Danio rerio: one gene and its partner. The protein of the gene in region 1 interacts with the protein of each later gene in a biochemical or structural test. Links are inferred from orthologs where the notes say so. Each region holds a gene or a part of one and is shown on either strand. Other genes may lie near its edges.

Evidence for each region.
Region 2: of the proteins of mettl22 (region 1) and kin, one has a biochemical effect on the other in vitro, tested with the Homo sapiens proteins (2 studies listed by BioGRID). The link is inferred for Danio rerio from reciprocal best matches to the Homo sapiens genes METTL22 and KIN.

The regions. Positions count from the first base shown.
Region 1 is NC_133178.1:26,655,293-26,659,325, forward strand, and holds the start of mettl22 (methyltransferase-like protein 22), read right to left. Parts: upstream 2,803-4,033; 5' UTR 2,727-2,802; intron 2,346-2,726; 5' UTR 2,309-2,345; coding exon 2,203-2,308; intron 1-2,202. UniProt on the Homo sapiens protein: Protein N-lysine methyltransferase. Trimethylates KIN at Lys-135 (in vitro).
Region 2 is NC_133179.1:25,832,372-25,836,559, reverse strand, and holds the start of kin (DNA/RNA-binding protein KIN17), read right to left. Parts: upstream 2,813-4,188; 5' UTR 2,627-2,812; coding exon 2,513-2,626; intron 1,137-2,512; coding exon 1,042-1,136; intron 956-1,041; coding exon 912-955; intron 818-911; coding exon 695-817; intron 1-694. UniProt on the Homo sapiens protein: Involved in DNA replication and the cellular response to DNA damage. May participate in DNA replication factories and create a bridge between DNA replication and repair mediated by high molecular weight complexes.

The DNA of each region.
Region 1 (4,033 bases):
TCCAACATAAATTAAAAAAAAACCTAAATGTATGCATTATATTATAACAGTCTGCTATAGAATTAGTTATGAATATAGTTTTGCTAAACGTTTTATTGAGATGTTGGAGATTTGATGCGTGTTGGAGCGATTGGGTAGCTTAGCTTTACACAAATAAAAGAAAATTAAGGCCCGTTTAAAAGGATTGAAGACTTACAAGACAATATTTCAGTGAATTTAAAACTTTCTAAGGCCTACAATTTTGTTTTTTTTAAATGTAAGAATTTAACCCCACGGACACCCTGTGGGCAGACTTTATCTTATCTCCATGGTTACTATAATGGTAGACTTAAAGTGAAGTTGACTTCAACTGACTGACACTTTTCTTTGCAATGTAGCTGCTTATGTCCATGTCTCACCTGAGTCTTGCACAGTATGCCTCACTGGTAAATTTCAACAAAGCATTACTTTATTTTGGAGGTGATTCAATTATTGGTGGGGATATTTTAAAAATCTGTGGATATTGGTGGGGACACGCCTCCTCTATCCATGCTAATTCTACACCCTTTGCTTGAACAAACTTGTGCAACATCATAAGGTTTATTGCATTTTCCAGATTTTCTACAGATATAAAAAGTAACTTGGCTGTCTGACTCTGAGGCAAAATTTCCTCCAGTGCATTTCAAATACATCCAATGGGTTTCAGGTCAAGTGGTGGCCAATTCATTTGTGAATATGCTTATTCTTTCACAATTTAAATCTTTGCATTGTCATCCAAGAAAATGGCGCATTTAGACATGGTTGTTTAAGAAACAGAAATCTACATGCAGCATCTATATAAAAGAATGGTTGGGAAACATACAAGTTCACAAAAAAAAAACAACAACACTCAAGTGGAATTAAACCAGGGCCAGAGTGGGATTCTTTTTTAGCCCTGGAGTTTCAAGCCTTAGACCGGCCCACCTCAGTTCACAAATAACTATATTAAAATAACGTAATTTCCAATTCAGTTTCTAATGACACTATCACATCTTTTTCAAGGAAACAGCTGTTTTAGAACTTCACATTTTTTTCATAAATATGAGAACATTAAAGGGTAGCTAAATCTCCAACACTATTCTTTAAAACATCACAATGTCCTTTCCTGCAATTTCTGAATATATATTCTGTGCAAAATTCTTTATAGATATCCAGTCCTTTGTAACGGTGGTCACACAAAAAAATAAAAATAAAATATGTACACCTATATAAGTAACAAAAACAGTATTATATGACTTAACACTAAAAATGAAAAAATAAAATAAAAAATTACCCAGGTGAGGTTCGAACTCAGGTCAGTGACGCCGTAACGCAACATGCTGACCACTGGACCACAAGATGCTGTTACACTGCTGCATTTGGAATAAAAAATTAATATTGCACTGCCATCTGATCTGAATCTTTTTCTCTACTTTTTAGATTTCAGATCAAGTTATGTCAGATTTATTAATGCAGTGAATCATCTGATTTATATCAAACAGGTGTAATATTCATTAATATTAATTATTCGAATTCTTATATTCACTAAGGTGCCGCTATTTGGGGTCGAGTGATAGTTACGTCATCGTTAACCTGCAGGCTGCACTTAACTCACGGGGCTGCGAGAAAATATATAAAAAGAGTGGAGCTGCGGCAAAATAATGATTAAAAGGAGTGAGGCTATGGTCAAATAAATAAATAAATAAACCCCAGCCAAAAAATGGACCGGCCCACCGGGAATTCCATTGGATTCATTAGCCAATACAGGCCTGAATTAAACATTCATGAATGAACACAAGACAAAATATTCTGAAGAATGATGAAAACCAGCAACCATTGACATTAACAGTAGGAACAAAATATAGTTTGGAAGACATCAGTAGCTGATGCTTTACAAAATTCTTCAATATATCTTAGTAAGGGTTAAACAGAATAATGTCTGAAACAAATGGAGGAAGAGTAAATGACAGAATTTTTTATTTTTGGGTGAACTATCATTTTAATTACAGCAACAAAGGCTAAGTACTTGCTCAAACTGTGACTTTCTGGTGCAAGTTGGGGGTCGTTTGGTTGAGTAGTATGATCATATTTAGGGGTCAATAACATAAAAAAATATATATATATAAAAAAAAACATGCCGTAAACACTAACTATTAATTCTGCATATAACCAATAAGATGCTTATGTGTCTTAGGCTTTTCTTACCAGGCTGTCCCACACCGTTGAGTCTCTTCATGAGATGGCGAGTGTTTGGTAGCAGCAGATGGACATCAGACAGAACGGTGTCACTTCTAAATGTGACCTGGTCCATGATCGTCCCTGCATGGTACTCTATCAAGGATGCTGTTCTGAAAAACAAGACAATTTTATTCAAAGTGCTTAAAAAAACAATAATTCCTATGTGCAATGATAGTTTTTAAATTATCTGTCATTCTACACAAATACAAAACTATTTTATAGACTATTTTAAGACAGAACTACGATACAGGCAAGAACAAAATAGTCTGGACAATGATTAACAGTTTTGTTTGGGCTTGAATGAAAGCTTTAGGATTCTTGACCGAGTAACGTAGAAATATTAAAGTGGGCGTGACCATACAAACTCAGAAAGCCACTTTCTCGTCGTTTATTATTAACCTTCAGAGTTAATCGAGAAGATAAACAGAAATACTACTTAATTTGTTGTTAAGAAAGTAATTCATTCCGTATAAGACGTTAAATGAACTCACTAGATCCTGACATGTAAGTTTACAGTTTCTTCATAGCGTCACCTTGCAGTTTTCTGATCAGCTCAGGGGGCAAAGAGCAGCAGATATCTACAAAGAACATATTGTTAATGAGGATGAGTAGACGTACTTTTGATATTGTTGTCGAGTGCATTAAATTGTACTAAAATATGAGCGTAGCGATATTCGGAGCTACCTTATATAAAGGTTATACTGCAGCTTGTGAGAGGTTAGACTAGCAGTGTTACATTAAGAGCAGACCGTGTAGGAACCGTCACTATGAAAATAGTTCCGAAACAGAACGCGCTTGACTCTGATGTGAAAATATGGTAATTTTGTTTATATTATTATTTTTTATTTTTATTTAATAAATATTTGTTTGTTATTCAGTAATACTTATTTTTGTTCAAAATGATAATACAGAACTCTGTAGATGAATCAGCTTTAACGAACGATTTGACGACCCCGTACCCAACAAACACATTTACGTTGTAGCGATGTCCGCACAACGTTGTATTTTTTTAAAGGCAACGTTGCCGCTTACGTGCTCGCTACATTGTCACAACGTAGAAATGTAAGACGTGAGAAGGCTGTAGCAACGTTGTCGTGCGACATTCAGCAACCGCGAGGCGGCGTTCTTACTACTTGTATTAATATTTTTTGGGCCTAGAATACAGGATAAGCAGCAATTCTTTTCCAGTATTGCTTAATATGAAATATTGTTCATTTATTTTTCCTATTTAATTTAACAACTGCATGTGTAAACTTTAAAGTGTAAAAATGCCACACAAATTAATAATCAAACTTTTTATTATATATTTCACAACATTTAATACATACAGTACACATACAGTATCTAATTATAAGCAAACAGTATAAAATAAAGTTTAGATTATATATATATATATATATATATATATATATATATATATATATATATATATATATAAAATCTAAACTTTTATATATATATATATATATATATATATATATATATATATATATATATATATATATATATATACTACATACATACATACATTAAACTAAAGGGTAAACAAACAAGAAAAGTAAACAAGAAGTCATTAAAATGTAAATAAATATATAAATATATAAATAAATATATAAATTAAAATTCAAACACTGGGCAGTGAAACTCTGGACTGGAGAATACAGCAGACCGGGGAGCGCAGCTGAAGACCAGTTGTAGTTGTTGGTATGGAGAAAGCAGTCAGAGGAAGAAACAAATTCAACGGATAATCCAGCTTCAGAGATCCACACCCAGACAGCACACATACGTTGGGCCGACG
Region 2 (4,188 bases), on another chromosome or scaffold:
AGATGGCTATACTATGTTAATGCAACAGATTTTTTTAAATGGCAAAGCAATGATTGTAGAATGCGTTTTAGGCATATGCTGTCCTCTCGTAAATTTGTCTTTTTTGTGACTATTTGTCTATTTTTGGAAGACTTAAATGAGTTGACTTTGTATCGACTAGCTTCACTTGCTATGGCTATGTCTGAGGGTTTTGGTCACTTTAGATCATCTCACAATCTTGCAAAGTCAGTGAAACAGTAAAACCAAGCACTTTTAGCTTAGCTTAGCATAGATCATTGAATCGGATTAGACCATTAGCACCTGTCAAAAATGACAGAATTATAAATATAAAAAAATTGCAACATGTAATTTTCTGTCAGCCGTAGTACACAACGTAACAACAGAAGAGTTGAGCTTGAAAAAGTAAAATTATCAAAACTCTTTGGTCTTTTTTGATGCTAATGGTCTAATCAGATTCAATGATCTATGCTAAGCTAAGCTAAAAGTGTTCTCACCAGACCTGGAGATGAGTTAAATGGATAGAAAATGGTAAAACAAGGTTGTTTAACTCTAGTTGACTTGTAAAAATTATCCAAAAAGAGTGGATTTGTGTTTTAATACTAAAATAAAGTACAATTTAGATCTCCACTGTAATGTTACACATACAGTACATGGGACACTGCTTTTTTTTAAATACAGTATTTAAGATGCTTGCCTTCTCTCCCAAGCCATTTGGTGAAGTCGGTGAGGGTCTCCCACTGTGTAGCATTCATATGAACGTGTTCTCGATGACTGATGTACTCGTTATACACAATGTTATTGTGAACTCGTTTGGTCCCTGAAAGAACAAACACAAGCCATCTTAGCCTAAACTGACAAAACATGCACAAAATAAAGAAGTTTATATAAATAATAACAATGCAATAACTTACCAAAGCGTCTTCGGAGCAGTTCTAAGAAGTCAGTTTTGAACTCGCTGTAAATTCAGAATTTAGAATTAAACTCTATTTCAATGATAGCTGGATAAATTGATGGATATGGATAAATAGTGTGTTTACTTACTCTGAAAAGTAGCTCAAGAACTGGTTGGGGTTCTCAGAAGCTAACAGCAGCTGTCTCTGATGAGACTCAGACATGCAGTGACATTTAAACCCGTTCTGCAGTCAAGAGAGATCATGTTAGATCGCAATATTTATATAATCAAAGAGAAGTCATAGGCTCTGTTCTTTGTACCTCACTCAAAACATCTTATGTTATGATTATTTGAGACATCACAATTTTTCTTTAAATCATGATAACTGATCTCTGGCTAATTTGTTTCTTCATTGTGAATTAAATTAAAATATCTGGATTAATATCTGAGATTGCCACACATGCTCGTGTTTGTGAAGGACAGATATATTGATCCTCAGCAAGTGTAATAATGACATCTAATTAAAATTGGCAATGTGAGCAAAATGACTAAAAGGAAAGATTTAGCAGCCTAAGAAAAAAGTAGCATATCTGCTGACCTAAAGGCAATTTTGACTGAAATGTATAGCAGAAGTCTTTGATCCACGAAGAACATGTTTAAAAAAATTGCTTGAACTTTTTTTCTTAAAATTAAATAAATATATTTAGACCAATCAATATTTTCCATTCCTAATTTGAATATATTTGTATTTTCTTAAAAGTGGTATTACTCACTTTTACTTTCATATTTTAATTTAATAATTATTTACATTTATTTTAAAAATCTCTCATTTTATTGAGAAATGATCTGTCTCTCTCTTTCTCTCTCTCTCTCTCTCTCTCTCTCTCTATGGGTTTTTAAAAATGCTTAGCAGGTTATTACAAATGGCACAATAGAGTAAATAAATGTATTTAAATTTAAATGACAAAAAGATAAGAGCAAATTTGTTTTATATGTTGATGATTTCCAGTAAAACGGTAAGTAGCTCTCTATTTTGAGATGCAATCAGTAATGCCAAAATTCTTTCTAGATAACATAAGGCTGAGACCTCAAATGTTCTCCTCAAAATGTTGCCAAGGTATGGACCACAGAAACTGATCAAACAAAGCTATTTCTACGTTTTAAAGAGATATTACAGCCCAAAATGAAAAATCTTTAATGTTTAATGTCCCTTCACTTGTTCCACGCCTGTTTGAGTATCTTTTTTCTGTTGAAAACAAAAAACATATTTTAAAGCAAGAAAGAAAACATGCAACCATTGAAATTCATAGTGTTTTTCTACTAACGTTAAGGAAATCTATGGCTAAAGATTTTCAGCTTTCTTCAAAATATCTTTTTTCGTGTTTAACAGAAGAATGAACTGTTAAAGGTTTATAATAGCTTGAGGGTGAGTCAGTAGAGTTATATTTAATTTTGGGGGGAACTATCCCTTTAAGACAGTGGCTAAAATACTGTACATAAAGGCTAAAAGCAGTATTATAAAACCTATAATTAAGGTTTTTAGGTTTAAGAATTTAAGAAAACAAGTTAATAAATAAAATTAGTGTGTCTAAAGAACACGACACAATCACATAAACTTACTTCATCTCTGCATTGTTTCTGACACATCTGACAATACCAGCGGAGCTTCTGAAGGCCTTTGGCTTTGATTCTGTTCGCGATCGCTTTAGGGGTTAAGAAATCCGCTTTCCCCATTTCAAAAACTAAAAAAGATCACAATAAGTACTGTAAAAATAACAACTCTTCCAATGTACAAGTCCTTTCCCTCTTCCTTGCGTTCTGACGCGAATTCCTCGTTTTGAAATATGCGTTTTTCGTCACGGATTGGTGTGTACCTCTGATGCCGCGAGATTACACACTAGTACGCGTTTCTGCGCTTTTATTTGCGCCTGCGCAGACCGGCTGCTCTGACCTTCATTGAAGTGAACATGTTCGCCAGGACCAGCGCGGCGGTGTTCCTCCCACAATGGTAAGAATTTACTCATTTATATTAAAACATGTTTTTGCTGGAATAAGCATTTATCTTGCGTGCATACATAAAGAACTCAAGCTGTTTCTAATTGAGCAGTGAAACGCAGCTGAAGCGGAGCAAGGACGCACTGATCTTTAGGCCGCGCTTTGCTTAACGTTAAGCCTAATGACAGCGCCAGACTTGACATTTACACGTTTTCATAGCTGTAATAACTACTACATATGCATTAAAAACCTTTTTATATGTTTGTTTATTAAGTAGTTGAAATGAAATAAATGCTATCGTGTCAGGAAATGTTAACTGTAGTGGTATGTTGTTTTCCCGTGTCTGCAATGCATTCTGTGTCATTCAATAGAAGTCAAATTTACTGATGCATTATTGTCCTGACTGAGGTATTATATTGTTTATTTGTTGATGAGATTAACACTTATTAATTTTCTTTTGCAGTGGGCAGGTCAGGAACATGGCAACCTTGAAGGACAGTAAGTAAAGTTTTCTTTTGCACTATAAAAGGTCATTTTTATTATCTTTATGTCGGCAGTTTTTGGAAATATTTATGGCTTTCTGTAAATTTTAATAAGCAGTGTATTGATCTAACTTAAATATAATTTAGTAAGAAAAGTCATGACATTTAAAATGATGTATGCATTACGAAAACAAAAAACAATAAAAATGTACACTTACTCTGTCTAATATAAATATTTAAACCTTCAAGATACAATTAAACTACTTTTAAGATACAAATTCGAAAGATCAAGTCTGTAGAGTTGGTTTAAAGGTATAGTTCACCCCAAAATGAAAATTACCTTTTTTTATTCTCCCTCATGTGCCTTTAAATGTTTGCACTGAACACAAAATAAGATGAGAGTTTGAAGAATGCTGGTTGATGGGACCTAATAACTTCCATAGTATGACAAAAATACTATGGAAGCCTACAGTTTCCAGCACCTAGCATTTTTCAAAGCATAATTTTTTTTACGTTCAAAAGAGGAAAGTTGTATAAACTCCCTTTAAAACAAGTACAATAATATAAGTGGGGCTTGGAAATTGGTTAAGTTGATTTTTTTCAGTTGTTCATTTTGGTCAATTTGACCCATCTCATAGGTTTTTGTCTTATTAAATTAAGAAACTTTTGAAAATTGTGCTAAAAAGATGCATTTGTTAAAATAGATGACTTTTTGATAAAATTTGCATTTAGGTTGCTGCTATGTTTTTTTTGTAAAATGCATTAAGAATGAACTTTGTATTTAGCCAAAACGTACAAATTAACTGTCCATTGAAACTG